2 linked regions of the Rhinolophus ferrumequinum genome follow. The protein of the gene in region 1 purifies or fractionates together with the protein of each later gene. This does not show direct contact. Links are inferred from orthologs where the notes say so. Each region holds a gene or a part of one and is shown in the gene's direction. Other genes may lie near its edges. The genes, in order: MAK and KATNIP.

Region 1 (16,120 bases):
TGAATTTTTGCAATGTTTTCATCAGTTACTGGCCACCCTGACCTTTCTTCATCAGTGACACGTTTTCTCCCCTCAGAAAAATGTTTAATCCATTTGTACACTGCCGTTTTCTTCTTGGCGTTATCCCCATAAACTTGGATTGGCGTGTCCCTTATTTCACTTCTACTCTTGCCAAGTTTAACAAGAAATTTATTGTTTGTTCATTGCTCTAATTCAAGCTCAGGCATTCTTGTATGGCACACAAAAACACGCAACAACAATAATGAACACCACTCAGCAAGACACTACCACACATCAACACAAAAACAGCTGTGAGACATTGATATACCAAGGTTATGAAACCTTACCAAGCTGTTTGTACAGTGCTGCCAGTGTAGGTGCACAGTGGCAAGTTTGCAAACTTAATTGTCAGACCTCTGATAATTCAGTTGCTCCAAAGTTAAAAATCTGGAACTGTGTTTGTTGAGGTGAGGAAATGGGGAGCAGTTGAATTTTGTAGTCTCTTAATTTCTAATAAAAACAACAGCAACAAATTTCCAGAACTGTCATTTTTCAGAAGTAATTGTTTATGGGCCATTTTTGCTTTATTGTATGATCATCTTTAGCCAGCAGAAGCAGTTTAGGCTTGAGTTAGCTGCGAATATTTACCATATTCAAATTCTAAGCATATTTCCATTGACTCTAAAATGATTCACTAAAAAGCCAGACAACATAAAGAATTCCTTAGAATCAGTATTTCGACATAACAGAATCTTCATTACAGTAGGCAATACATACGACCAGGGAGCCATTACATGCTAATCTTTTTTCTAAAATTGCCTTTTATTTTGTCTGCATACACGCATACACACACACGCACACACACACACAGTATAATAATGGGCTACTGTTTCCTAATCTGATTCTCACTAGCCTGAGGCAACCACTTTCAAATCCTTTGAACATTTCTTCCAATATTTACCTCCATATTTCTAAACCACAAGTTTAGACTGCTATTTCTTCTTTCTACCCTTATCCTGGGATTTCTTTTTTTCCTTTTCTTTTTTGTCTCTTTCTTGTGTTAGATCCTCTTTATCCAGGATCCTGTGTCTTCATTCTTGATTTATCTCTCCTTTTGGTGGATAACATTTTCCAGAAACATCCTGAGAAAGGATGCATGGGAGAGTTCATAGAAGAAGAATACACATCTCAAACTTGAGGGATAGCTTGAGTGTCAAATTCAAGGTGGAAATGATTTTTCCTCAGATTTTGAAGGCATTGCTCTGTATTTTGCTTGTTTGGATATTTTCCTGGTTTTCAGCATCAGCTTCCATGGTGATTCCTAATCATATGTGTGTGACCTGTTTTTTTTCATAGAATCTTCTATTTATCACTAGTTTTCTAAAATTTCACTGTGATGTGTCTTCGTGGTTTTTTTTTCCTTCCCTATTTTTTTACTGGTCATTTAGTGGGCTCTTTCAATCTGAAAACAAATATCCTTCAATTCTGTATTATCCTTGCATTATTTCTTTGATTTTTGATCCTGTTTCTTTTTTTTTCTTCTGACATTCATTACTTAGACTTGATTCTTTTATTTCCTAATCTTTTCTCTTCTGTTTGTTTTTTAAAACTATATATTGTATTGTTCAAATTTCCAGTTTACCTTAAACTATTCTATTAATTTATTTTAGATTTCTGCCATCCTAGTTTTATTTCCTAAGAATTATTTATTACCTCTTGAATATTACTTCCTTTTATAGAATCATCTTCCTGTTTCATTGATACAAATATTTTCTCTTTATGTCTTGAAGAATATTAATTATATTTTTTGTTTGTTTTGCTTTTTTTTTTTTTTTTAATATTCCCTGCATTGCTTTTGTTCCCTCTGAGTCACAGAGTTTCCTCCTGTGTATCAGATTCCTTATTTGTTTGGGGCTTAGCAACTGGGGAACTCAACCATCAGTATCCACAGAGTTTTTTGTTCTAATCCACTTTCCCAGAGGGTGATGTTCTAATCTATCACCTGTGGCATAAGCCAGTTGCCATCTTTCTGGAAGCAGAGAAAGTAGCCTACGGGCTCACCATCCAAAATGCAGTAGCTCACTTATCTTCCTATTTTTAGCTGGTGCCTTATTCAGACTTTGCTATCCCAGGTAGGGGCAGTGGCCCCTGGTAGGGTGGGCTAGAGGATAAGATCTGGGGGTCTAACTGCTCCTTTTACAGACTTTCAGCCAATCCTCTTTTCGTTGGCCCAGCCACTTTCTGAGGTCCCTTGAAACATCCAATAGTGCAACTCCATCTGAACTTGGCAGTATGAATCAGCTTCCTTCTCCTTTGCCATTTAGTCTTTGCAGTTACATTTTTATTTTGAAAGGATGATCATTTATCCTCAGGAAAAAATACTTCACTTTTCCTAATGCACCCAAAATTTAGGCTTTGTGAGACTATTCATGAGTAAAGCAAAAATGAGCGTGAGTGTTGTTATAATATCTAGTGGACTGGGTGAAGTCTAATTATTAATTTATAACTGAACAAACTTAACACAACAAACTCTTTGCTATGCAAAAACCATAAACCTTGACATTTAAATAAAATCACATCTAAATAAATATCTCTAAAATCTCCATATGAAGCCGATTTCAAACCACACTTACAAAAGCTTGCGTGGTGTTTTAAAAATGTGAAGCTTACACATACCTGCTGTGCTTAAAGAAGCTACACTGATATCCTGAGTTTTTGTAACATAACCTCTTCCAAGTGTTCCGTTGTGACCCCACTCAAGAAGTATGCATTTTAAGAAATCAAAAAAGATGGGAATGAAAATTGTAATTTCAATAGTTACTTGTCTTTGTGATGTCTTTCTAGTGTTTTTAAATTTTCACCTCAGAGCTTTTGAGCTTCTTTTGGACAGGAACTTGATGATATATAATATTACAGTAAAACCTTCTAAGTCAGTGAATAAAATATATAAACAAAGTTGCTGGACCTAGAAACATATTGATAAAGATCAGTTCCACAAATTCATTTGACAGAAACAAACATACCTGAGGTGATATAATTTATTACTTCCTCCTAAGCAGGACAGGCTCTAGACTTATTTGTGACAGGAATGAAGTGAACTGAATAGTCTGTTTAAACATAATGCAGTGAAGTAGCTGCTTCTTGACAGATAAGCCAGATCTCAGGTTCCCAACCGTGTCCTTTCAAGATGGTCACGGTCGTCCATTGGGATGTTTTGTGCCTGAAGTTCCAATCAGGTGCCTTTTGATCTCCTAGATAGGGGCCCTCCCTGGCTTCTGCCTGTAGCTTCGGACCTCTCTCAGGTACGCGTAGAGGCTTCCAGCATTGGAATGGCATTTAGCTACGATGCTGTTGTGTATCGTTGAATGGCACCAATATCCTTGCTCTGGTAAAAAGCTACAAGCTGTGAACACTGGTAAAAACCCAACACGTGCACACATATGCTCGTTTTAGTGGAAAATCTATTTGCATGATGATATGAAGTGGTTTTTTTCATTTAGAGAGGAAATTGTTTGTTTATTTGTGTAGGACACTGGCTTCATCAGTGATTCCAGCTTTCATTTTTATAATAAAGCTTTTGGTTTAAAAATAAAGTGAGACAAAATACAGCAAAATATTAAACAGTAAACAAAGGAAGATAATATTTATTTTCTCCTTTTAAACTTGCCTGTGTTTTCTGATTTTTTCCAATTAATTTATATTTGAAAAAGTCAAAATAAACGTTCTATTTTTTAAAATAAAATTTTAAATGCTTCTAATGCAAAGCAGTTGCTCAGATAAAAGAAATCCAGGAAACAATTTGATGAGAATATCTCTATGAAAATGAAAGTGAATCAAACCTCGAAGACATAGGCCCTACCAGACTATACATTCCTCTAGCAAAATGCAAATTCCTGTTCTAAAACATGAGTTGCTAGAGGGCAGAGTCTGTATCATTCATTCAACAAATGTTTACTGAGCACCTACTATGTGCCAAGCACTCTTCTACATGTTATAGAAACAACAATGAACAAATCACATGAAATGCCTGTCATGTGAAAATTATAATCTAGCAGGGATGGAGAGGAAAACAAATAATACACAAAACAAATAATTAACTGTATAGTATATTAAAAGGTGGTAAGTGTCATGAAGAAAAATAAAACAAGGTGGGTCATTCTTAAAATTATGACCATGTAGAATTTGTTTAGAGTTAAAATTTGATCATGATCTTATATAGTTGATACACTTCTTTAGAAAATAGTTTAATTTAAATCCTAAGGTCAAGGGATAACCCACCAAAACATCATTTGAGGCTAGCTGGATCAGAGTTGGGAATTGAGGAAAAAGTAAAAGAGAATGGCATAGTTAGAAGAATGTATTGAACCAGGAATGTTCTGATTCCTTAGTCACTCACTGAACGTCAGGTTCCCACATTTGGCATTGAGACTGAGGTAGGAAGTTAATGCAGGGCTGGGCTGACTGGATGACCCTTCACCTTGCCATTCTCAGTTGCCAGGAGAAGGCATGGAGATACAGGACAGCTAACTTCAAATACTGGAAGAGGTAACATGTGAGAGAAAAAGTATGTCTTCTTAATGGTCCTGTATAAATCAGGGACACTTTCGATTTAAGTGGAAAGGAAAATCAAATGACAAAGCAAAAAGAGGATTTTTCCAGCTCTTCCAATTGAAAAGATCAATAATACATTCAGGCATGGCTCAATGCAGGTGCTCAAATGCTGTCATCTAGAAATGATCTCATTTCCTCTCAGCCCTGCATCCTTCTGTGTTCATTCTCAGCAAAGATATGCAGCAAAGATGGAGCCCAGTTGCTCTGGACTGTCATTTTCTTAAGTTTCCCTAACAGAAAGGGAGCATCTTTTTCCCAGTATCTCGGAAGCATGTGCCCACCTCTGGAAGCTCACCACCGAGACTCTGAGTGGCTCACGTGGACACCCCAAAGACAAATGGGTCAGGGGTGTCTCACCAAAGGAAAATTGAGGTAATACCAGAAAGGGAGTAGTAAATGCTAGATGAGCAAAAACAAGAGGTCCTGCAGATCATACAGAGTAAAATGTAGAGAACTGCCAAGAACTGCAAAGTAACCTGTTCCCATTCAATAAAAGGGCAATTTAAACCATCAGAACCATCCCAAGTTGAGATTAGAAGAGGTAGTGAATTCTGTCATAGGAGTTTCCATCAAAGACTTACATTTCCAAGTTTTCTAAGGTTTCAATCAATCAACTGAATCAATTCATTTGTGACTGGACACTGCAACGCTTCAGTCTAGCTCCACTGCTGTCACATGTCTCCATTCCACCATCATATCTTAACCCCGAAACTGCAAACATCTCCTAACTAGTCTCCTAACTTCCCACTTGCCCTTCTCCAAACACTCCTATATTTATTGAGCTCCTGGTATGTGCCAGGTACTGTTTAAGGGACAGATACGTTGGTGACCAAACACATAAATCCCCATCTTCAGGGACCTTCCGTTCCAGTGGGGGACGCAGAAAATAAACAACACATACTGGTAAAATATATGAGATGTCAAATTGTGATAAGTGCTAAAAAGAAAAACATAAAGCATTGGGATGTGCATGAAGTGCTAGCAGTGGGGTAGTTAGGGTAGCCAGAGAAGGCTTCACTGAAAAAGCAATTTTTTCAATAAAAACCAAAAAGGAGTGAGGGACTGAGCCATGCAGATATCTGGGGGATGAAAATTCCAAGTAGAAGGAAAGCCAGAAACAGGAGCATTTCAAGCAACAGTGAAAAGGCTGCAGCAGAGCAACTAAAGGAGACTAGCAGGGATGAGATCACATAGATAAAAGGTGGCCAGATGATCTTCAGAGGCTTGTAGTTGATGGTAAAGACCTTGGGAAGGAGAAGGAAGCCTATTCCAGGGTTTTAAACAAAATGACAAAATCTGTCTTGTGTTTTAACAGGATCCACTTGACTGCCGTAAGTATATGCTGAAAGTGAACAAAGGCTAAAATTTCTATCTTAACAGGTCACTGAACACTACAAGAATCTTATAATTCTTTCATTCTGATTAACCCTTCAACTTGTGTGCTAATGTCCTCTCAATATTTTGGTTCATACTTTTAACGCCACAAATTAGACTATTGCTATTTTGCACCGAGAATATTTATGCATTTATACATATATGCATTTATACACACTCACCTTATTTTTTGGCACCTCAGACCTTCCTCCTGGGATTACATTCCTTCTTTCTAAAGTCCAGTCTTTGAAAGTTCCTTTAGAGTAGGTCTGTTGGTTGTAAAATATCTTGGTTTTGTTTTTTTAATCTGAAATTGTCTCTGTTTGCCCTTGTTCTTGAAACATCGCTTTCTCAGGTACAATTCTGGTTTGACAGTTATTTCTTGGCAGTACTTTGAGGAAAAGGTTTCATTATTTTCATTGGCACTTGAGGGGAAATTTTCATTTCGTCTCCTGGCTTCCAGTTTTACTATTAAGAATTTCACTGTCAGTCTAATTGCTCTTCCTTTACAGGTCATCGCTCTTTTCTCCCTAGCTGCTTTTAAATTTGCTTTGTCTTTGGCATTCTGCAGTTTTACTATCTGTGTCTAGATGTGAACATCTTTTTACTTGCCCGGCTTGGCATTCTTTGTACTTCCTTTATCTGTGGAGTCATGTCTTCAGTTAGTTGCAGAAAACACTCAGCCACAATTTTGCAAAACTTGGCTGTCCTCTAATCTCTCTATTCTCTACTTCTTAGACTCTATTTCGATATATATTAGACTTCTTCTTCTATCAAACCTCTTAATCTCTCATTAATATTTTCTATCTTCTTGTCTGTTTATACTATGTTCTGGGTGATTTCTGCAGATTTTGTGCCAATCTCCTAATTTTTTCTTTGGTTCTAATATGTGATTTAACTCATTCTTTTAAAAAACATGTTAAGAATTATTATATTCATTTTAGCAGTTTTTTAATTATTTTCTAATATTCTTGGTCAACATTGGTTCATTTGTGTGATTCTGTATGCTTTTTTGTATGTTTTTCATACATACTTATTTTATATTCAAGTTAATATTTCCAATTTCTGAAATTCTCAAAAGTCTGAATGTGTTGTTGCTTTTTCTGCTAATTCTCACTTGAAAGGGTTCATTTGTCATGTGGTCATGAGCTCACATTTTATGAAAAAATCTGTAGTCCTAAATTGAGGATGCTTCTCCGGAGATGATCTGTGTCTGTTTCTTCTGGGACTCAGATGGTTCTACTGGCCTGGTACCACTTTGGCCCTTTCCCAAGTTCCCTGATTAATTTTCTAGTCTCTGGTCAGCTTAGTCCCATTGCCACTGGTCCAGGGCTAGTCTTCTTGTTGTGCTCAAGCAGGATTTGCCTTTGGCCCAGCTTTGCCTTTCCCATTTGTTTCCTCTCCTACTCGAGTACAATGTATGGGAATGCTTGGAGATTTTCCATTCTTCCTATTTCAACAGTGCAATAAAAAGTATGCTTTACACATGATCTAGTTGTTTCCAAGCAGAAGCGTTCTTCAGAGGATCTAGTCAGTCATGCTGTCCTCTTTTTGTCTTCCTCCTTGTTTCTTGGGTTTGTCTTTTTTAACCTACCTTTTCTCAGTCTGAAATACTATTTTGAGATCTCCTACTGGTTCTCTGAATTCTCTTGGTTAGTTTTTTTTCTCCATCACCTCCATTTTTCTCTCCCCACTCTTTAGAAGACGGAGTTTTCCAGAATCTCAGGCCTCTGTTCTTCTTAGTTTATCTTGTCTACACCAACGACTTCATTCACAGTATTCCGATATTTCTGTATTTCCAGCTCTGACATAACCCAAAGTTACAAATCTACATTTCAAATTGTCTTCTTGTGACCTCCATTTGGATTTTCCTCAAACTCAAAATTTTCAAAACTGGTCCTATAATCTCCCCCACCCTCTCTCCTCAAATCTGCTCCTCTTCCAATATTTTCCAACTTATTTGTGGATACCACTATCTACCACTCATCTAAGCCATATGGTCCTATGAAATTTAACTACAAATATTCCTTGAAATCTGTCCCTTTCTGTCTTATTTCCATCATCACTGATATAGTTGGATTGTCATCATTTCTTCCTGATAAATTACAATAGTCTCTGTTTCTTTCTCTTGTCTCCATACTCATGGCTCAAATCCACCTACCCCCTGCTGCTCTTGTGATCTTTCTAAAATGCAAATGTGAACATGTCACTCCTCTGTGGAAAATTTTTCAGTGTTCCCCTATCACTGCATCATATGGTTTAGGTTTCATAACAGTGCATATAAGACCTCCATGATCTAACCTATGCTTTTTATTTTGCCTGCCTATTTCACTTTAAACTGTAAGAGGGCCATGAGAATGTCTGTCTAGCTACCTTGGCATTAACCTCAGTGCCAAGCCCAGAGCCTGACACCTAACAGATAATTACTAAATGGATACATCACTGCCTCATATATTAGAAACTCTTTACACTCGTCAATCTGAACTTTTTTTTTGCAGTAACACAAGTGTACCCAACTCTCACAACTCTAGGCTAGCTACTATTTACTCATTTATTCAAACATTCATTCATTTATCTTGTAATTACTACAATCTAAAACTGTGAATGGTGCAGAGTAGGTGCTCTGAATGAATAAATGAAAATGAACTTAGAAATTTGGCCTAGGAGATAACACATACCCGAGGAATTAACCAATGTAAGGAATTGTAATACAAGAGCAGTTTTTCTCCAGGCGGTATTTGCATAAACAAATACAAATATAAGGCAAACCTATGCCTTTCTGTTTCCCTTCCCGAGTCTGGGAACCAGATTTAGTGAATCAAACTTTGTAGAATGAATCAGAGCAAAACCAAGAAAAATAAAGGGCAAACCAACCAACTTTCTATAAAGAACTGAAAAGGAATCTCCTAAACCCCATATCTAAACGGCAGAAATCTGAAAGGTCTCAATAGATGCCCAGGTATTCCCGGAAACCCCGCCCTAAGAAGGCGGGGCATGCAGGATGGGGCGAGGCTAGTCCTGCTCGACCACGCCCCCTATGGGCCGGGTGTAAGCGTCGAGCCGCGCCAGAGCTGGCGTACCCCTGCCGTTTCCTAGGAGATGAAACACACAAGACGCCAGAGCTTCACAAGGGAGCGAACGAGGTAAGCGGCTGGCTGGGGCCGGTAATCCCGAGCCGGCTGCGGGGCTGCCATCCTCTGTCCATCCAGCCCGAGCTTGTCCTGTGACGCTGGCCGGGCATGTCCCCGCGGCGCTCTGTCCTACCAGGGCCAACCTCTGCGGAGAAGGGGCATAGACACTGGTAGGGGAAGGGACGGGAGGGAGGAGATCCCTTGAGAGGCGGAGCGGGCGGGAGGGGTCGGCCTGCGGCTGCTGCAGTGGATTCTGTCTAAGGCCCCCTCTACCACTTTACCTGCGCTCCTAGACGGCGGGGGTCGGTCCCGGGTGGGGGATGACGACGGGACATCTGTCAATCTGAGGTACCCTGCCCCGAACCTCTTCCCTAGGGTTCCCCCGCCCCCTCGCCACACACACACACACACACACACACACACACACACACACGCACACCTCCTCCGCTCCCTCTACTGCTTAAGGGGAAACTACTTTTAGGAGTGAGGGGCGTGGTCGGGTCTCGGAAAGAGAGCGAATTGAGTTCAGAAGTTCTATAAAATAAAAAAGACAGAAGTCTTTTTAGGAGTCTTTTAAGGGCTCCGGTTTGCAGAAAAAGGATCAGAGCGTCCGTGTAACGAAAACTGTTTCTTTACTGCAAATAAGACGGGTGGGAAAGTAAACCAATAAAACTGATTTTTAGTGGTTTGTAATCTCAATTCTAAAAGGAAAGATTTATGTATTTGTGTTTCGATAATCTTTTTAAATCAGCAGATATTTGTTCTAGTGATAACGGAATTCTCATGGAGCAGTTATTGGACTTATTTTAATCAGAAAAACAACACATTGGGTCAATATAGTGGTGGAGGCAAAAGTTACTTTTCAGCCTTTTGGCCTTTATCTTTCCCATCCTCCAGTGACCGCTGAGTGATGGGGACGGGAGATACTCCTCTGAAGGCGGCCACTTGCTACCCACGCGAGGGTGCTCTTGGCAAGGATGTTTTATCTCTTCGTTGGGATACGTTTTTTTCTTTCTTTTTTTCTTTTTTTTCTTTTTGTTTAGTTTTAAAATGATTTGTGAATATTACCACAAAGCACTAATGCTTTTATATTTTAATACAGAATCTTTGTTTTCCCATTGTAAAAGCTCCCCTTTTAATTTCTGTAAACATATGACTTGGTTAGTTTGACATCTTTTTCCTGTTTTGCTTTTTAAACAATTAAGTGATTCTTAAGACATTACGTTTTTCTTAAACGTTAATGCGAGCCTAGGAGTGATTACAGTAGGTTCTACAAAGCAAGTTGAAGGCATCCAAATGGCATCTGTTCAGTGATTGGCAGACACAAGTTTCACCCTCCCTTTGACCTCTATGTTAATCTTCTTTACTCCTATCTAAATCCCTTCTTAACTGGCAGAAACTGTTGAGAATAAAGCTCAAGTTTACAATAATTGTGCACTTAGATAAGCAGCAATTGTACTCTTAGATAAAAGTAAGAAAACTAGAATGGGAGAGAAATTATATGGGTATTTATTTAATGTAGGTCTATACTAAGCCTCTAAATACATGTCTTTTTCTTTAAATCAGAATATAAGGTTTGTTTAACACATAGGAAAGTAAGTAAACATTGTAGCTTGATTGTGGAAAATTCCAAGTTCTGTTAAATTAATTGAGGATCACAGTTCTATAACATGTACTTGTGTGTTGCCTTGCTATATATATATATATATATATATATATATATATATATATATATATATTCATGTACATAAGAAATCTTGTTAATGCTTGCAAATTTTGCAGAATTAGCTTTCTATAGGTCAACAGAGAAGAATATGTAACTTGTAGAGAAATATTATTGTGTGTGAACTGGGGACCCATAGGCAGTGTATGTTTCTTTTTTTCTTTTCTTTTTTTTAGCTGCTTAATAAGTTTATTTTTCTCTTAATATGAAAAATCTTCATGGAAAATTATTGTTTGTTTATTAACTTAGCAGCCTGTTCCTGAGCTCTAAGGAAGCTTTTGCCTTCTTCTGCTCTACCCGATCTTTCTTTTGGGCAAGAGACATTTTGGGCCGGTTTCACCTCTTCTTTTTAACTTCTTTCTTAGGCTTCTTCTCATAGACTGGATTCTCTCATCTAGCAGCATGAGCTTTCTTATACATCTCCTCCATGCCTGGAGTTACGTTGTTCTTTATGTATTGAGAGAATTGTTTCTTGTAAGCATCTTCATCTTCTTCCATTAGATAACGCGTCTGCAGCTCCCTTCAGGACTCCCAAACTCTATTTCCAGTAGTAGTTCTGGCAAGCCTTGCATCCAAATAGCAGGTGAAGGCACCAGGTTGACCATCAATGCTTTCCACATTGTATTCATCTCCAGTCACCTCCACTTGACCTTCATAGATCTTGTTCACGCCAAAGCTATTGAGAAGCCTGCAGGCCAGCAGCAGGCCAGTACAATATGCTGCAGCATAATTTGTCAGGCCACCCTTCACGCAATACTTTGGGAGTTCATGGGCATACGCTGCACAAACTATCATATCTCCTTTTATATAGGCATAAGCAGTTAGACAAATGATATCTCTGTTGGTTATATGAACTATCATCCTATATTTGGGTGTGTTGTACTTATTTTTATCCTGGATTACCAAGCGTTTCCGGCCATAGTAATCAGTTTTACCCTTTTGCCGTCTTCTAAAATTCACTTGTTATCTCTTGAAGTTGGGTTTTATTCTTTAACTTTAATAAACCCCATCCTGTGGAACAGAGATCCACGTCCGCCGCTCCCCACAGACCTGCACTCTGTTTCTTAAGTTACATGTGCTGCTTTTTTGACTAGTAATCAGTTTAGGACCTTGCTATGTTATACTGATAAAAAAAAAAAAATAGGTGTTTATGTGCTATCCGTCAGTGGGTACATAGGAATATGATTTTTTAAAAAACCTTTACCTGTGTATCTATGCCTCTTTACATTAGGCCATTGTCCTTGTATTTTCAGAGGGATGAGGGGACAGTGAAAATGGCTTGTTTCTCACCCTGGAGAGCTATTTAATTTGTAATTAATATGATTCAAAAGAGGTCTTTCTAAAGTTATTTGGGAGCATAGTATATCAATTTGTTTTACCTAAAGGTCAGGTAGGATTTAAACTGGACAGATTCTCTCAGAGCCACAAATCTGCCTTTTTTAAATCTATGCCATGTCCTTAATCTTCACGACCACCTCCCAAATGAGAGAAGTTGGGAAATGACCACGTCCCTTGTTTATTCTTCTCTGAATATAAGTACAGCATACGGTATAGCCATCCTCACTTTAAAATACCTTTGTGTTCAGTGTATATTTGACGGTTGGTTGGTTTGGCTTGGAATAAAGTTTCCAATAGCTGATCTAAACCTGGTTGGGCTTCCATGCCAAACGCAGAAAGTCATCAATGACTGAATAATTGTTGTGCTAGTCGTACTGGTGACGGTGGTGGTTGGTGGTCTTAATAGTGGAAGAGAAAGAGACAATGGATTCCACTTTTGCAGGTTAAGTCACTGCAAGGTACAGTTTTGACTACTCTTTCTGGCACCCTCTTACCTCTGGACTTCTGTTCCCACCTGGGCACCTCCATCTTTCATTCCCTTCTCAAGCAATGTGTTCTTTTCCAGAATTGCCTATATTACTTTCTACCTCTCAGACCCTTAATGCTTGTCCTCAGTTATGTGTTAACTTGAAAATAATTGTTGAATATGCAAAAAATTTGCAAAGGAGAGACGGTGCTATTATCCCATTAAATTTCTCTATTAATTTCCTGGGTGAGGTTAAAAAAATAATTTTCATGATGGGAGCTCGGACTCCCTTCTCCCTTACTCAGACTTTCTTTCCCTTCACTGTTTTGGGCCTATTGTTTCTACAGTGTCCTTCAGGTATAGGATAAGCTAGATGTAGCCCTAGGGTTTTGTTAGGTAGTAAGCACCATTTGCACTTTCCAGTTAGTCAGTAGCATCTTGGTGTTTTAGGGTTGGGAGTTGGGCTAGGAAGATGGGGGGGAGGGGGGGTGCGGGGGAGGGAGGGGGGAGGGGCAGGCAGCAATTGTTGTGTGATAGATTCTACATGGTTTTGGAGCAAAGAGAGGTGGTTCCTTACAATCAGTTCCATTAATGATTGTAAAAGCCAATAATGGGTTCTGTAGAAGTTAAGGACCACACTAAAAAAAAAACACAAAACAACAACACAGCTCCTGGTTAATGGACTCCATCTTTGATTCTCTGAATGATCATAAATAGGTCATTTAATCCTTCTGTGTTTTTATTTTATAATTTTACTGGAATAATGAACATCATAGCTTTTGGACAAATATATTCTCTATATTGTTACTTATGCAATAAACCTATAGAGAGCACCATTTCCTTAAAAGAGATAGGTGTATGTCACCTTAAATAAGGTAGGTAGAAAAGAATGTCAAGCAGTTTAACATGTTGATATTGAATTGCAAAATACTGCTTTAATCAAATTCTAAGTGATCAGAAGAAATACATAATATATTTCAGCCCATAATACATTTCAGCCCAGGCATAGCACATAGTATAAAACAACCCAAAAGATCTTTCAAAATTATATTTCCTTATACAAATAAAAGAAAAATTAAGAAAAGCAAATACGTGTTTTGGTCAGGAGCTCTGCAGAGGGATGTTGCCTTTCTCTATATTAATACCTTCATATTTAAAATCTGTGTCTATGTATAATGTAAAGACCACTTGCAAAAAAGAATGCATTTTTAGGCAAAGGATGAACCATTTGTTGGCATTTGATAAGACCATTTGCTCAGACTTAAGCTGAAAGAAATGAATGAATCCCTGCTTAGCACTGGAATCTACTATCGTGATCTCTTTCAAGATCTTGGCCAGAGTTAGCATAGCCTACGTTATTTCACATGTGCTTTTGAAGGGGTTATTTTCTGTATGAAGTAAAATAAATGATAAATTATTATAATACACACTCTCTGTTATTGTAAAGCCCCACTGGGTTCTTCCAAAGTCTCCTGTGGACAAATACATTCCATGTATAGGAAACAACATAGTTTTACTGTAGTTCTCTACACTTGTTTATTCTTTCTCCAGAAAGCCTGTTTTTAGAAGTCTTAGATATTTTGACAACTACATCACATCCTTGTAGGTCCTAAATTTATGCATAAAATAGAAAAGCAGTTTCTATGATTTTATTTTATTTTGTGGAAATATTTTGTGGAAATGAAGCAGTGGTATACAGTAAAAGGAAAATGATCTGTGAATGAAGTACCAAAGTATAAAAGGCATTTTAAAACAAAGTATTTTAATGATGCCAAACATTTTATTACCATCTGCAACTAAACATAAAACCTTATAACAAAATGATGGAGATTCTTAAAAGCAAATTAAGAATGATAAATAGGTATGAACTGAGAAATAATTCCTTGAAATGTGGAACTAAGAACAATGGGAGGAAACTTAAATATTGTTGTAATGAGGTAGGCACTAAGACTAGTGCTTTGTTTTTCTTTAGTTGTGGTAATATAATCAGAACCTATTGAAACCTGTGCCCTTCAAATATATACAGATCCATAATCCCTTATCTGTAGTTTTAAAATCCACAAAGCACTGAAAGATGAAATTTTAAAAATAAATTTGTGCAAATCTTTGTCATGTTTTGCAACAAAACATGACCCGAATAATGTGAGGCCATTTATAGTCTTTATTTATTTTACTTAGTATATTTTTCATACATGTTTCTGTGGTACATTAAAAGGCTAATGCAAAGTATTACATAACATAAGGTATGTGTTCTATACTACTTTCCTCAAAAATGAAAATTCCTGGATTCCAAACACATCTGGCCCACAAATTTCACATAAGGGATTGTGGGCCAAATAAAATCTGATGCAGAAAGTGCTTCAGAAAATGGATATACTGAGTATAATTGTATGATTTGGTCTGGTCTGGAATAATATAGATTATAGTAAATAAAAAGGAATCGTACAAATCATTAAGCCAACATTTATTGAATATTCATGGGATAAATGGTACAGTACCATGTAAACGAAGCATTCACCAAATGAGTATTGTCAGTTGGTTATATGTGAACTGCATTCCACACAGCACAAATGATTTACTGACAGATGTTTAACACATTGGTATTTATGTTACTTAAAGCTTTTCCCTGTGTAGTAAGTTAGCGGTAAAATTTTTTGTAGAGATTCTTTAATGAAAATTCCCTTTATTCTTATTTTTTATAGGGTGTTCATAAGAATGGAAGCACTGTTTCCTTGCCGCTGTAGCTCATGAACCTTCAGATTCTTGGGGAAGAGCCTATGTGAAATGATGACAAATCTATCACCAGTGTAGCAACAACAGTCTAAGGGCAAAAACAAACTTTGAAAAAAGAAGCATTGACGTTTATATTCAACAAAGAAGCCATTGCAATCAGCAACTTCTGCGGCGTCATCTTTCCAAGATGAACCGGTACACAACCATGAGACAACTGGGGGATGGCACCTATGGCAGTGTGCTGATGGGCAAGAGTAACGAATCTGGGGAGCTGGTGGCCATCAAAAGGTACTGTGTGCAGCCTGCAAAGTTTGCCTTCGAAGCTGGTCTTTCCTTTCTTTTGCTTGCTTGAGAAACTGAAGGTACTGTATGGGATTTTTTCAGAGTTTAAAGTTGAGTGCATAGCAGAGCTTATTGTTTCGTTAAAACAGTAGGCCTCAAAATCAGGGGGTATTCATAATATCAAATTGAGTTCTGAATGGCAAGTGGCATTTTACTAAGCTTACCAATTAAATAGAATTAATTATTAATTTATTTTCAATATACTGTATTTATTATCTATTAATAGTATATGTAAAAAAATTATCCCAAAGCTAAAATAAGAACCAGCACCATGTTTCACCGAAAATAAGACCTAGCCGGACAATTGGTCCTAATGCGTCCTTTGGAGCAAAAATTAATATAAGATGCAGTACCTTATATTATATTATATATATATTATATATATATAATATTATATATATG
Region 2 (15,923 bases), on another chromosome or scaffold:
TACATTCCTCCTCGGGTACCCGTGTGGGTCTTTTCAGTAGATTCCAAGGAGTGGAACAGCTGGCTCGGCGGGGATTGAAGCTACGCAGGGTTTTGCCTTGTCATGTTTTAGCGGACACTGCCGCGTTGCTTCCCAAAGTGGCTTCCTTGCCAGCTGTTGCGGGTTTTTGATGAGGGAAACCACGGAGATCTATGTCAGAGCAAAGCCCAGGGACGGGCTGTGGGTTGGAAGGAGCAAGCAGGAGGCCAGGAGACCATGGAATTTGTGGGCTGCTGTTCTGCTCTGAAGAAGCCGTATTCGGAGAGAACACAGGCTACGGTAGGGGCTGCAAGAGACCCTCCCCACCCCTTCCTTACCTCCTGACAAATCTAGCAGCACAAACGAAATGCTGTCCCTCCTGCAGCCTGCACATCTGGCTTCTGTCCTGTCACCTGGTTTCTATTCCTCAAACCTCGTCACCAGCCTGAAGTCACCACCTTTTGACAACACACCGGTCGAGCGAGATATTATAAAAACGCAGTTTATATGAGTGCAGATGAATTCTCCTTTATTCCGCCCTCGTCCCGATAGCATTCTTCGCCTGCCATCTGCCGTGATGCGTTCAGGGGTTGTGATTGTCACCAGCCCGGCACGTGTCCTGAGTGTGTGACAGCAGCCCCTCTCCTACACCCAGCTGCTCTCCCCCGAACCAGGTCAGCTCAGCTCCTTCCTCATCCTACGTGGGAAGGGAAAGCTGCATCCTTAAAAAGTTATGTCATCTTTTCTTTGCATGGCTTTCGGGTGGGTGTTAACTTTGCAGCACAACGTGCCTCAGGGTTCGCTCGGGGAGCTGGGTCCTGGGTCACTATGAGTTCAGATTTTGTTCCATCCTCATCAGAAACTTCTGAGTATTTCTAATCAGCGTCATCTCCGTTGCTAGTGTGAACTGAGCACGTGTTATACGCCAGGCAGGAGCCTAAGCATTTTGTATTTCTAAGGTGTTGTGTTAATCATCAGCCCCATTTTTTTGTTTTGCATTTCTTATTGAGATCTGATTTATATAACACACAATTCACCATTTTAAAGCATACAGTGCAGTGGTGTTTAGTATATTCACAGTGCTGTGCAACCATCACTACTATCTAATGTCAAAACATTGATGTCACCCCAGGTAGACACCCTGTACCTGTTAGCAGTCACTCCCCGTGAACCTGAAAGAAAGTAGGAAGGGAAGGACGGAGAGAGAGGGGAAAGAGTGAGAGAGGAAAGAAAGGGTCTTGGTCCCACACAGTCGGGGAAGGGGTGAGAGGGAACTACGGTGAACTGTCTTCTTTCTATTGCTGGATCTGTGGGATTCCTACGGCGACCCTGGACTGTAGTGTGTGAGACAACACAGCCTGAACCCCACTGCACTGCCCTGGATTTGAACGGGAGGTTTCACTTCCTGCCTAGGGTGTTCGCGCCACTGGGCACCTGTCGTGGGCACAAACAGGCTTTGCCCCTCATTGGGCTTAAAGCAGGCCTGGAATTTCAGAAGCCAGGTCCCTCCGGTGACATGTCCCCTGGGATCAGCCAGTGGGCTTGGACCATTCCCCATCCTCTGCCCTCCCCGCCCCCCTCCACCTTCCCCTGTCCACCTAGTGAGCTCCTTTACAGCTCAGCGCCGTGTCCTTTCCTCTGTAGAGCCTGCAGCCCCCGAGTAACGCCAGGCCCCCGTGCCCTGTACCCACCGCGCCCTGGCACAGGTGCGTCCTCCAGCTGACACCTCCCCCATGGCACTGGAACAGTCGTCTTTCCCTGGCCGCCTCGCGAAATTCCTTGAGAACAGGGATGTTGTCTTCCTGCCTTCTTTTCCTTCTCTTCCTCCTCATTCCTTCCTTTGCACAAGTACTTTGTAAGTTCCTTGTGTGGACCAAGCACTGGCCTGGGGCTAGGAGACACCGCAGTGAGATTCGGCACCTGCCCTGCGCCATATGGGTCTGGTACCTTGGGGGGACCCACAAACAAATGGACAGACTTTCACAGAGTGAGACGTGCTGGCTCCTCGAGGAGGCAGGCGGCCTGGGTCGTCAGAAGAGGCCCCAGGAAGGACCACAGGTGCCCAACAAAGGAACTTTCTAGGCCTGGGGAAACAACAAGGGGGCCCTGGTCTGAGAGGAAGGGGCTGAGCTTCTCCGAGAAGCAGCCAGAAGCCATTGGGCCAAGGGGTTTGGGGGTGTGTGTGGGAGTGAGGTCAGGGAGGATGGTGGGGCCAGACTGCATCACCTGTCTGCGCCCCTTAGAGCAGCACCCAACCTCAGGGGGAGCTCGAGACATGTTTGTTGAATAAATAGCAAGGGGCCCCTCTGTGCTACCACCTCCTACCCGGGGCTGCGGGGCAGCTCCTGGGGGGAGAGGGACCCGTCCATTCAGGCAGCCCCGGCTGGCTGGGCGGTGGTGACGGGATGGACCTCGTGAAAGATGCTCTCTGTGGCAGGTTCATTCCCTTCCAAGGAAAGGCTCTCCCATGCAAGTCAGGTGTGGAGGAGGGAAAATCCCACCTGAGCTGCCTCTCTCCTCCCGTCAGGCCCAGCGGCGGTCCTGCAGGGTCGGGAGCCTCCGGCAGGTAACAGCTGCGCTAAGGCAGGTTGGCACCAGCCTGGGAGTGGAGAGCGGGCGTCCTGAATCGTCAGAAGCTGTTTATGCTGCAGCCGGGCTTCCAGGGCCGCGTCCCCTCCGGGAGGAGGCAGTGGGAGCAGCCCCAGCCCATCTCCACCCACGGAAAGCCTCGGTGGACGTGTCCGCTCAGAAGCCTCCAGCAGCTTCCCGTGGCCTCAGTAAAGTACAGAGTCCTCACCGTGGCCTCTGCCCGAGTCCCAGCCCATTCCTCCCCGCCCGCCACCCCCTGCAGCCACACTGGTCCCCGCGCTGTGCCTCACATATGCGGAGTGCTCCCACCACATGGCCTTTCACTGGTTCCTGCCCAGATTCCTACAGGGTTCTTTTCCTTCCCTTCCTTCAGGCTCCGCCTTCTGGTCCTCCAGGCTCCTCCTTCTGGTCCTTCAGGCTCCGCCTTCTGGTCCTCCAGGCTCCGCCTTCTGGTCCTTCAGGCTCCGCCTTCTGGTCCTCCAGGCTCCGCCTTCTGGTCCTTCAGGCTCCGCCTTCTGGCCGTCTCGGACCCCCCGGCTAGGACAGCACCCCCTCTTTCCCTCCCTCTCTCGCTGCTCCCTCTTTTCGTCTCCGCAGCACTTAGCACTATCTGACATACCACAGATTTACTTATTCGTTTCATCACGTGTCTCCCTCCTCCCACTAGCACGTGAGCTCCCTGCTAGCAGACTCGATGCCCTCCCTCTGTCTCCAGAAGGTGCTCAATAAATAGAGCAAATGGATGAATTTGTAAAATGAGGGCAGTGTCACCCACCTGGCAGGGCTGTGGTGGACGTGGAACTTCCAGCCCCGAGTTTCCTCCTGTGTGGTTGCACACTTCCACGGGCCTGTGGGTGGCGTGTAAAACACGGGCTAGTTCCGTGTTTGTGTCTGCCTTCTATTGATGGCACGTGAGAATGCTTTTCTATCTATGGCATGAATGTACAATTTTCCTTCTTCAAGTCAACTCGTTTAAGATTTTAAAAGAGAACGTCTGTATTTGCCAGCCTACACGTTGGCTTATCACACACACTGCAACCTTACGAGGAAACTTTTCTGAGAATCAAAAGACATGTTACTTATTTTCTAGTAGACACCTATGTATGGAAAGTGATTTCTTAGATAGCTATGTGTGGGGTCCGAGTCCCAGAATGTAGTTTCCAGGCTCTCGGCCTCACGTGGAAAGGTGCTGGCTCGGGTAGTAGAGGGTCGTCAGCTGTGACTAGTTGGCCATCAGCTGTAACCGGTTAGCCATTAGCCACCGATATAACTGCCGTGGCTGGGTTGGTTGGTTGGTTGGCAGAGAATCGGATGGCAGATTGCAGCTCCTGCTTCCTGTGTCTCCAACCCGGCCGCCAGCGAGACGATAGCGGTATGACTCCCCTATCTGTGGCTCCGTGGGTGTTCCTTTTTGGCCTCACCGTATTCTGTCTTCTTATGTGGGGAGCAGGACCAGAGTCCCTGCATGACACTATGTAAGAAAAACTTTTTCATAAAGATGCAGCATATGGAATCCTGGAGTCCAGGAGGAAATCCTAGATTTTGGATCTGTATCGATATCCTACAAATCCTGAAACAAAATATAACGTCTCAGGGTGTGTCTTGGTCCATAGCAGGGAGGCATAGTAATAAACATAAGTGTAAGGTGTGTCCTTGGCTTACCCATCTGCTATGTGCCTAGTATGCGGCTTGGTTACCACGTCTACCCAGGGCCTGAGAAACTGAAATCTCTGCTGCAGTGTTCTGTGTTGTTTCATTCTACCTCTAAGGGGTGGTGTCAGCCATTGCTTTAGGTCTTCATTGCTTGGCTTCTGTTTGCAGTGCAGGCGTACTGGCTGTAGAGTGTTTGTGGTTTGTGTCCTGAGGATGGGAGTACATCTGGTACGTCAGCAAAAGCAGTGAAAAGTAAGCTCAGAATTATACTTTTTCATTCAGCTAATATACATTAAAGACTTAGAACACAGCACTGAGACACGAAGAACAGAATCTCTGAGTACAACGGGAGCTTTGGCATTTGGGGGCAGGTTTTGAAGGGTGAGTAGGAGTTTTATACTGTAAGATCCGTTTGGAACGTCTGTCACTGTGGGTGTAGGGCCCTCACTGAGAATGTTCATTAGGTATCATCTTAGTCGTCTACTAAACACTGCCCTGAGCCCTAGGATATGGCACAGACTTTGCAGTCCGACACCCCTGAGTAGTAGTTCTACGAGTGTACCACCGAGAACTCCCTCAGCTGTGTGTCTCTCTCTCTCTCTCACACACACACACACACACACACACTTCAAACCGGCTTGAGTAAAGAAACAAATGTATTAGCTCTTGTGACTTAAGAGCCCAAGATGGCACTGGCTTCAAGCATGGCTGGATGCAGGGGTTAAACACGGTTAATTTAAGAGGGTCTGCTTTCTGTCTGCTCTCTCTCTCTCTGTCCTCGGTTCTGCTGCCTGCCTCTGTGTTGGTGTTGCTCCTTGGACACACGTCTCCATGGGACATAGACGGATGTCAATCATCCCTTGATAGAAATGACTTCCGCTGTGGTCACCTTTGTAGCTCTCGGCGCAGGTCAGCTAATCATTCCAGGGGAAGCGAGGTCGGGACTTTTCCCGCAGGTTCAGCCAATCCCTGAGCTGAGTCTGCTGGCCTTCCTCTGGGGCCACGCATAGCCCTGAACCAGTTGCATGTCCAGGAGACGCAATGCCCTGATTGGCCAGGCCGAGGTCCACATGCCCTCTCTGGTGGCGCTGGCAGTATTATGTCCACCCCCACCACACAGATGGAGCGTGGAGGAGAGGGGTTGCCCCAAGAAAAATTGCGGCCTGCTGGCAATTTGCTTCAGCTTTCAAAGCCTGTTTCCACCTCTTTAAAATGGGGCTACTGACCCCAGAGCTTAGCATTATTTTGATCCCACAATAGGCAGCCACAGAAAGCATGATAAATGGCAGCTAAGGCGGCCGGAAGAGCGGGCCCAGGGACCTGGAGCGCCTGCTCAGAGCTCATACACCGTCCCTCGGTTAAAATGTGACCCTCGGGGGCCGGGGAGTAACTCAGGTGTGTGGACGTGCTCTGTGCACTCTGCGCTGCTCCCAGACCCACTGTGGTTCCCAGCCCCGTTAGGAAACCATTCGAAGTTATTGGGCTTCTCTGCGGGGGCCTGACAGCTGCCATTGGACATTCATCGCAGGCCCTGGAAACCGACAGGGCCCTCTGAGCGGCGCGGACGCGGCCTGGGCTCCGGCGCGCCCTCACTCAGCCCGGTTTAGGAGACTCCCAGGATTCTGGCCTCGGGAAAGCGGAATCCCTGGAATACGGCCTGGGCCGCGTGCCTTTGAAACACAAGTGACTCTTGGCGTGTCTTTCCAATGCCATTTTCTTCCCCCAGAGACCATTAATGATGTGCTCAGTGATAAAATTTACACCGTCTCTGGGCCAGCGTTAGGGGTAAGATGACAAGAACTACAGCAATGAAAAGTGGCGCTGAGGCTCTGCTTCTGTGTCACGTCCACCCTCCTTAGGCCCTTTGCCAACTTAACTCGCCCTCCTCAGCACCTGTCGCCCTAGTCAAAACCCCACACCTTTGCCCATGCTGCTGCTTTCTGCTTGAAATGCTTGTCCCTTTTCTTGTTGCCCCAGAATATGTTCCAACTTGAAAATCTCAGCTCAAATGCCTGTCTGTCTACCCCTCTCTCTCTCTGTCTATCTCTCTGTGTATTTTACTCCGTCAATATCGGGTAATATATCCACTGTGTGCATGTACTGTCTTAGGGTCTGGGAAAACACAAGTGATCAAAACGGATACAGTCCTGCCTGCATGGAATTTCCATTCTAGTGCAGGGGACAGCGCCATAAATAAGAGGCATCATAAATAAGATAAAGTAGGTATTATATTAGTGAGGGATTGGTGTGTGTGTGTGCACAGCTTGCAGTTTTACATGGGGCAGCCGGGGAGGGCCTCCCTGAGGTCAGTTCTGAGGCAAGCCTCGGAGGAGACGAGGAATCTGGGTACTGACCTGGGGGCCGAGCGTTCCAGGCAGAAGCAATGAAAAGTCAGGCCCCTGAGCGGGGAGCCTGCTGGGTGTCGACGGGGCCGCAGTGGGTGGTGGGAGCGGCTCGGAGACGGGCTTGGGGTCTGTGTGCAAGGCCTGGTGGCCACAGAGACCTGTGCAGAAGACATGATGCACCTGCCTTTTATCTGGACCCCCTGGCTATAGCAGGGACAGCACACGGCAGGGTGAGGGCAAAAGCAGGAGGCCAGCGAGGGGGCCTGAGCCAGGGGGTGGGGGCAGGTGGGGGAGAAGTGGTCCGAGGCCGGGGGGTCTGGTAGTTTCCACCTGGAGCTGATGGGTTGGATGGATGTGGAGGGGGGAGTGAGCAAGGCTTCGAGTTTCCTCATTCGGATCCGTCGCTTCATAGTTTATATATTTTTGATGGTCATTTGTCTCCTGTTTGTTGTCTTGGATGCTTTTGGTGACTTGACGAAAGTTATGGACAGATGAGTGTTCCCAGAGCTCCCAGCAAGCCACCCCGACCTTGCGGACCCCGGCCAGTGTGTGTTTGCTTGACTGGTTTGCACAGCGGCACGGGGTGTCATTCACACCACACGCAACATGAAAGGGGCCGAGTCCTGCACAGCTGCCCCTCACTGGTGGTCCAGTTCGGCCTCTAGGCAAGTTGATATCTGAATATATACGGGGGCCGAGCTTGTTAGACCATCATTGCACATGTAACAGCCAACCCAGTAAGCACTTGATAATGTTTGCTGAAAAACAGTGATGATAAACTTGGCACTTGACAAGGTTCTCACACCCTTGTGGGGTGCTTTATGGTTAATGTGCCCATTTCACAGCCTGACAAATAAAGCCTCAGTGAAGGGAAGTGTGCTGTGCTGGGAGGAGCAGTGTCTGGTGTCTGACCAGGCTGGGGTGAGCGTGGGCTGAGCTGGTGCTTAGGCAGCTGTAGCAGCTGTCGTCACAGCTGGATGTGGTAAAGCTAAGATGAGCCCAGGACCAGGCCTCCCCCTTCCGTATTCCCCCCGGCTTCCCATGGTCTGCCCCCCTAGGAATTTATGATCCGGCTAGGATTATAAAGGAGAACAAGAAAGAAAGGACCCTAAATGACTTCCGCTTTTCTCCTAATTACTCCTTAGAGCAGCCCTGTGAGGCAGACCTTACTAATGTCCCCTTTTTACAGATGAGGAAACTGAGGCTCAGAGAAGGTAGGAAACAAAGCTCAAGGCTCACCCCCTCAAGTCTCCAAATCCCCAGGTAGTTAGTGAGCAATATACATAGTTAAATGCTAACAATTTATCACTTAATCATACACTCTGCCACACTGTATTGTATGTTAATTTAATACTAATTTCAGGGTTTCAAAATGAGCTGAAAAGTGAATGCGGGTGAGACTGTCACGGGGAGAGAGACTTTGGGAACTGAACGGGCCTTGGGGAGGATTGGGTTGGAGGCTGCGGGGGAGACGGAATGAATTGTGGAAAAGGGAATACCACGAGGAAGGCATGTGCCGGGGGGAGCCTGGGAGATGGTGCGATTTAAAATGACGCAAGTCTGTGACGTACGTGTACCGTTCATTGCAAGCTTTCCTCGGTGCCAGGTAACTGTGCTAATCCCTTTCCACCGTCACTGCCTCCTATGAGAGAAAGGAAAATCCTCCCGGACGGTGCCGTCATGACCTCTGTGTCACAGTTGAGGAAACTGATGGCAGTGCTAGGACTTGCATTGGAGCTAGTGCGTGTCCTCCCCGCTCAGGCTCAGTGACGTCCCGTCAGAGGTGGGTGCGTGGTGAATGGTGGGGAGTGAGGAGAGGCCCGGCTACTCAACTCGTGTCCCACCAGCCCCGTCTGGGAGCTTGCTGGAACGCTCCGTCTGCAAGCCCTGCTGCATCAGGGCCTGCCTTTCAGCACCACCTCCAGGTGATTTGTGTGCACGCTTAGCGTTGAGAAGCACAGGCTGCTGAAGACTTGGGCTGGAGGTAGGCCTGTGCTCTTCACGTCTTTCTGATGACCTCTTCGTCCTGGCAAGGGCGAATGAATGTTCTGGAAGGGTTGGGGTGAAAGCCCAGGGCAGCCCACCACGGCTGAGCTCTTTGACGTTCTCCTAGTTCTCATCAAAAAATGTCCATCGAATGTGTCGTTCTGTACTGTAACATATATCAGTGGTCATTTGCATGTTTCAAATGGTTACGTGAATTGCCTTGGAATAGGATCCCGTTCGTGGAATATGCATGGGATGGCTGTGCTTGTGTCTTAAGTGGGGGGTGGGGTGGGTAATGATCACTTCAAGGACGGCGGGGAAGATCGAAGGAGAATCACGTATGTGGAGGGGCATGCTTAAATTGTCCTCATACATGTGCTGTTATTCTAGAAGGAACTGAGACTCTTCCCCTCACCCAGTGTCCTGCAACCAGCTCTCCGCAGCCCTGGACGAGGAGTAACTCGGTGGGTTCCCCAGCCAGGGGCCCCTTTCCTTGTAATCAGAAAGAGAAGTGACGGCAGAAGGAGAGGGACCCGGACAGGTTGAGATGGACAAGCAATTACCACCCACCTCCGAGGCCGAGGGAGGAAGGGTAGCCCGAGAGGCCCAGGCAGAAAGCTGCGAGGGAAGGGAAGCTGGTCCAGGGCTGCAGAAGCTGGAGGACGGGAGTGTGGGCAGCGATGGGTGGTCGGCCGGCCGGTCAGCAGTTGCCCAGAGCCCAGAGCAAAGGAACAGGAGGAAGAAGGGAAGAGCTATCCTATTTGGTTAAGGGGGTTTGGGTCACCCTTGGATAGGGTTCTGGAGGGAATAGTGGGGTTGAAGCCGGATTTTGACAAGAAGAGAGCGATGGAGATTTTTGTTTCTTCTTCTCCCCAGGATAATTCATCCAAACTGCATTTCTGTCACAAATGTCTCACTTGCCCTTTAAAACTTAATCCCTGTAACTTGTGACTAGAACCAAGCTGACATGGTCTCTTTAGTCTATTCCTTGGCAAAATAATAAATAAATAAGGAGCATAGAAAATTGTGAAGCAGTGTTTCTGTGGGATTCTACTTTGTTTAAAAGAATGTGTGTTTGTGTGTATTTTACGTATAAAATAAAGAAAACCATCTGGAGGACTATATATCAAATTATAATGGGGGGTTACTGTATATACATATGTCACTTTCAATATGTGTAGCTTCATTAATTTTCCCTCCATAAAGCTGTAAAAAAACATATTGTCAGATTGTGGTAGATGACGTAATTCTTTGGACTGAAAATGAAGAGACACTCAGCTGAAACTTGTAAAGCAGTCACGAAGTGGTCCAGAAACTTCTTCAGGCGTGGGTAGGTGTAGGGGCTCAAGCTCACGTCCGTAGAATCTCTCTCCCTCTCTCGGATCCCCTGTCTTCTCATCAACTTCATTCTCACGCGGTTCCAGGCTTGCGTCTCATCAGCTCAGCACCGCGGTGGAAAGAGAGCAGCTTTTTCCCGGGAGTGTCAGCCTAGCCCAGGGCTGACTTTCTAGGGCTCAACCCAGACCAGGGAAGCAGTGCAGCGCTGTGTTGGTTGGCAAGGCCAAGGCCAAAGTCCTGTGACCCAAGAGGATAACGAAGGAACCTTCAAGGGCATCTCAGGAAGCCAGTTCACTGAAAGAAGGGGCCGAGCGGTTGCTCAGAGCAAACCCAGTCTGGGGCCAAAACCCCAAATGTCTGCTCTGGAGGGACCTTCATTCTCTGAGTCATGTATTTGTGTAATGACGGAGTTGTTGATAGCAAGCATACATTTTTCTCGTGTGTTGGCAAGAGAAAAACGTGATCCCCTCCTAAAACAACTGATTTGGGACGCCTTCGGTTAGGACAATTGAGATAAGTCAATCAGGAGCCTGGAGAAAAGAGAAAGCCCAAATCCTGGCCGAGCCCTTGATTTTATGGGGCCTGGGAGAAACAAACAGGAGAAATGATCTCGATTTTCGTACGTCGTTAGTTGTGGTGAGGCGCCCCATTGGGCCATCAGGCAGCCAGCCTCTGGGGCTCTGGGTCGCCAGAGGGACGCGTCCAGGGAGCCGGCTTGCGTCAAGGTCCGCCCCGCCTCGCGGCCACCTGTGCAGAGAGTGTGTACTGCCCCCCCGGCCTCAGGACGTGCTTTCCTGCTTTCTGATATCACACCGCTCTGTTTCTTCATTTCAGGGTCTCACTAAAGGACATGTGCCAGACTTTGATGAGAAACATGATGAGTATTTAATATTGCTTCAGCAGAGGAACCGGTAAGGACGAAGCCGCTTGCCGGCAGCCCCTCCTGTTAGCCAAGTAAAAACCCTGTGTGGATGTATTAGCAGCACGCAGACTCTGTTCACGTAGCGAAGGGATGCCGTTACCTCCACACACAGGCTCGGCGTATTCTCTGCAATGCCGGCTCTTATTTCCCCATTCACTCATGTCACGGCATCTTTTGATGGAGCTGTAGCAAACTATTCGACGTGTAAGTGCCGCCTCTTGCCTCCCTGCTTCCGTTCTGGGAGAAGGTAGGTTTGTCCCGAAAAGCCAGACCTTGGCAGGGCCTGTGCATTGGCCGCCTGAAGAGCCCGTGCTGTGATCTTCCAGGCTGCTCCCGTCCTTTGAAATCAGAGCCTGTAATCACGCCTTGTTATGGAAAGGTGGTGCCATTGTCCATTTGTGTTTGAAGTTGGTCCCTACGTCATCATCTAAGGTGATGTTAGTGCGGATTTTGACTCGGGAGTGCCGGTTCTTGAAAAAGCCTGCGGTAGATGGCAGTGGTTAGTGAATAAGGTCAAAGCAGTGCGGTCTGGTTTGAAAGAAGTCTGGAGGGCTGTCCAAGTTCATTTCCGGTTTGCTGTGGCTTATTTGCAGGCCTGGCACCTTGCAGTAAGCCCGGTCTGCAAAGTCGGATGCTAGGAGGGGCCGGGCAGTGAGTGAAGCCCACTCAGTGGGTGAGGACAGTTGGGGGCCTGGAATTCTCGCTTCCAAGCTGCTGGGGCTCAGGCCACTTGTTGGTGGGAACACAGGCCCAGGGGTCCATATCCTCCCAAGACTAGGAGACAAGCTGGAGATCTGGGTTTGTGGGTTTGAGTCGTGACAACCGCCTGTGCTTTAATAAAATGTTGGTAATGAATGCAAATGAAAGTGCGAAACAAACGGACGAACGCCGTAGGCCTCTCAGACAGACCTGCAGGAGGCGGAAGGATGGCGTGCTAATTTGGGCCTTTGTGTTAGGGAATTAGCTTGGGGTCTTGCAGGTGACAGAGTCTGGGGTCATCATCCTGAATATGGACTCTGCCCTTCTCTGACAACCAGGACCTGTCACTTGGGGCTCCCGCGGCCTGTGGCATGGGACAAGTTTTTAGGTGCAAGATAGTCCCCTGTGTTGTAGGATTAGTGTTCCCACCCACCGGCCACTTTACTAATTCCGTTATGCCCCCCAGTCTCCATGACAACACCCTCGCCGCATTTCCAGGTGCCCCTGGTGAGGCCGTACCTCTCGCAGTGGGGACATCTGAACAGAAATCTCTCCAGCACCAGCCAGAAATGCCAGGCACTCCGTCTGTGCCCAACTCCTTCCGACCCAGGGGCGAGCGGCAACTACACTAGCTGAAGGCCAGTTAACTCAAACGTGGCTTTTTAATCGTCGTGGATGCCACAGAGCAGGCTGTTTTTACTCAGTTCCTGGCAAGCTGGACGGGGGTCCCCGAACCCCTGTGTGATCGTCTCATCAAATCCACGTGACGTGTCTGGGAGGAGAGTGTCAGATGAGCAAATGGCTTCTCATTAATCGGGGATCAATAAGTGTGCAATCAAAGAGGCACCAGCCGACAGCGCGGAGGAGAATATACGGCGACGAGGTGGCAGCACAAAGGCAGCTAAAAAAATGTATCAAAACTGAGCTGCCATAAAATATGGGGGATGTGTTGTCACCGAGAGGGAGCTGGCTGGACGACAGGAAATTAGAAGGTAGAGCTGGAAAGAAACAGCTCCAAATGGAGACACATGCAGAGAGGGTGCCGCTGAGCTATCGTCGGCTGTTGGTTCCAAGGCACCTTTTCTGGAGGGCCAGCCACGCGCCAGGCACCTCGTCCTGTCATCTCGTTTTATCTGCACACGACCCGACGAGGCAGACACAGTGGCTGCCCTGTTTTACGTACAAGGACGTGGAGACCCAGAGAGAGAGCTGTGTGCCCAAGGTCAAGAAAGTCTACTTTCTCATGTAGACTTTGCTCGACATGGTCATAAATAATCAAGAGGAGAGAAACCTGCCAGGGTCGCCAGTGGCTCCAAGTTCACTGCGGAGGGGCTTTGTGGGAATCAACTGCGGTTTGCTTGGAAATCCAGTTATAGGACCCAATGGAACACCAGCCGCTGAGCTTCCCACTGGGCCGAGAGGGCGATGAAAACCCGGCTGCTCCCCGGGGGTGCCTGGTGACCTCAGAAGGGCTGTGCAAGAAGAAAGAAAAGAAAAAAATAAAATAAAAAAAAAACCAGAAAAAAAAAAAAACCACACACACAAAAAAAGAAGGGCGGTGCAGTCACTGGGCGCGTTCTCAGGGGAGTCAGTCCACAATACAGCGGCCCCAAGAGGCTGAGTGACACTGCTCTTGGATTCATCCAGGAGGAGTTCACTGAGTACTTGCTCAGAGCCCAGATTCCCACCAGTGTGGGGAGAACACTGTGATGGGGGAACGCAGACTATCTTACTTTCTGCTCCTATGCTGGGAGGGATGGAAACCCATGGTCAATGGTCCTTAGGCAACAAGGAAACTTACTGGCTCACGAAATTGAGAAATCCAGGATGACAGTCTGGCTTCAGGCATAGCTGGATCCAGGCTCTCAAGTTACGTCCGCAGAATCAATTGTTCTCCGTCTCTCAGCTCTGTTTCCCCGTGTTGGAGTCATCGTAGGGCATTTCCCTCTCGGAGGCCAAAGCGGCCACTGGCCACCCCCACACCTACGTCCCACCTCGAGGGGAGGAGAGCACTTCTGCCCTCAGGGTTCCAGCAGGAGTGCTGAGAAGGACGCCCATGGACCTGACTGGGGCCCCAATCTCACCCCTAAGCCCGTCTCCCCGTGTCGGTGAGGTGGCAGGTCTCACTGGCCTCTCCTTGGCTGCCCAGTTAAGCTGGGGGTGGAGTGAGCCTCACCTAAACCACGGGGAATGAGAAGGAAGGAGTGGAGCAGCACCCAAAGGGGATCCACAGGCAGGGCTGCGTTTGGGAGGTGGGGGGAGGGGTGCCGGGTGGGCAGAAAGAACAGGTGTCCGCCGCACACCCCTTGCCTGGAGGAACCGCCCTTCCCTCCCAGCTGAGCACCAGGCCACCTGTAATGGAGCCGGAAGAAGCAGAAAGGGATCACGGGCTCCAGGAAAGGCCCAGGGGAGGGTCGAAGAGGTGGTGCCCAGCTCACCGCGCACAGACCCTCCCCGAGGACGCTGAGTGATTCTGGTCACTCAACTTCCTGAAAGACGGAACCACGCCCAGCAGAACTCAGGGAAGAGCAAGCAGTGTGACCAGCGGGCTGGGAGGTGAGGAGCTAACGGCCCAGGGGGGCTGTACAGACTCTCGATGGCGGCTGCGAGGCCAGATCCAGTGGTGTTTTTGTGTTTTGGAAAAGGTCACTTGAGGGAAACTTACAGGAAAACATGCCCACCTGACAGGCAAACCCACTGCCTCAAGAGGAGATTGAGGCAGAAAGAAGGAAAAGGGGAACCAGCATGCACGGGCGATCCTGCACGGGGCGGATCCATGAGGTGGGGTTTCAGCCTGGTCCCCTGTTTCCATCCCCGTAGCAGTTCAGACACGTGGAGGTGTTTGCGGTCTCAGTGTGAAGAAGAGGAAACCTAGGGACGTGCCCCAGGTCACACGGAGGGGGATATGGCAAGGCCTTGGGTGGTGACATCCTAGAGGACAAATACCAGAGCCTGCGGGCCACCCAGGTTCCGGGAGGAGCAGCAGGCTTTTTGCACCACTGCTCTGGGTTCCTCCACACTTTGAGGCTGGACTCAAATGCCACCACCTCCCAGACGCCCCCAGCTTGGAGCCACCGCTCTGCCTGGGCGCCCTCGCTGCTCAGAGCCCCTGTGGCGAGACTCCTGATGAGGAAACAGAAACAGCGGAGCCGGTGGCTGGGAGACAGGCTGCAGGGCCTTGTGGACCTGACTTTAAATCTGGCTGCTTCCTGGGCCAGCCTTGGTCAAGTTCATCTCAATCCCAGGGCCGGGAAGGACTCAGCCTGACAAGGCACCTGCAGGGCCTTCGTGAGGCCACCACCCCGGTGCGGGGGCTTCCTCATCACCGTTGTCATTTCAATGTGAAACGCCTTCTCTCTGAGCTGCCAGCCGGATCCTCCTCGAATGCCTGGCCCTTAGAGAACCCCTCAGTTGAGCCTTTGAGTAACTGAGGTCCGGGGGAGCCACGTGGCTGGACCCCGGTCACATAGCAACTTCCGCGCTCAGAGACCCAGACAGTTCCGCCCAGAACCCACTGCCACTAGGTCCACGAGCAGCACGTTGCCTGCCCGCTGAGCTGGGCTGAATCCTCTCGCCACCTGGGACCCTGCTTGTGCCCTGACCACCCACCTGTCAGGCATGTCCTGTCCCCGTCACTCCCTCGTGATGACCTGTGCTCTCCCTCCTGGTGCTTCCACTTCCACCAAAGAGCTCTCCGTACAAGGGATGCAAAGGTCAGCACGGATAAAGCGGACACGATGGCTGCGCTGTGCGTTCAGCCCACGGAGGCTGTATTCGGATGCACGGCCATGTCTCCTCTCCCCACTGGACCTGGAGTTCCTCGGGGCCACTTGTTCCAGAACTAGGTTCTGAGTGCATTGCTCCCCGTTCCTGGCACTCAGCACGGTCCCCGGGCCCAGGGCTCGGATTCTGCTGGGTGGGAAGGAGACTGAACAGACACAGACGCTGACCTGTAGGCTGCCGTGTGAGACGTGGTAGGAAACAAGCACAACCCGTGAGAGAATAGAGAGCCCAGGCGTCAGGGGCGGGGCTTCCTTCTTTGATGGGGCAGGGACCGAATCTGACTCCTCTGAATCCCCTTCACCGGGGCAGCTTTTTATGCAAAGCAGGCCATCAGTTACACAAACCCCACTTTTCTTTTGACGCCACACGATCCTGACTGATGAGCTCGGCTGCCGCAGAGGCGTTCCTTTAGTGGGTCCTTTCACAGTTTGAATAATTATCTCCTCATTTATCAGCTTCATAAATCCACACTGTCATAAATCATCCTGCTGAAGGAGAGGCCCACGTGGAGGGCCAGCCCCGGGTCCTGGGGACCAGGAGACCACCACAGTTGGTAAGGTAGCATCAGGGAACGGGCAGCGTCTGGAGGG

The links.
Region 2: the proteins of MAK (region 1) and KATNIP purify together in Homo sapiens (affinity purification with mass spectrometry; 3 studies listed by BioGRID and IntAct, with this or other methods). This does not show direct contact. The link is inferred for Rhinolophus ferrumequinum from reciprocal best matches to the Homo sapiens genes MAK and KATNIP.

Annotation. Positions count from the first base shown.
Region 1 is NC_046292.1:83,291,008-83,307,127, forward strand, and holds the start of MAK (serine/threonine-protein kinase MAK), read left to right. Parts: upstream 1-9,072; 5' UTR 9,073-9,128; exon of another isoform or gene 9,129-9,286; intron 9,287-11,084; exon of another isoform or gene 11,085-11,827; intron 11,828-12,671; exon of another isoform or gene 12,672-12,712; intron 12,713-15,345; 5' UTR 15,346-15,563; coding exon 15,564-15,664; intron 15,665-16,120. UniProt on the Homo sapiens protein: Essential for the regulation of ciliary length and required for the long-term survival of photoreceptors. Phosphorylates FZR1 in a cell cycle-dependent manner. Plays a role in the transcriptional coactivation of AR.
Region 2 is NW_022680357.1:1,864,417-1,880,339, reverse strand, and holds the start of KATNIP (katanin-interacting protein), read left to right. Parts: upstream 1-9,138; coding exon 9,139-9,261; intron 9,262-10,763; coding exon 10,764-10,840; intron 10,841-15,923. UniProt on the Homo sapiens protein: May influence the stability of microtubules (MT), possibly through interaction with the MT-severing katanin complex.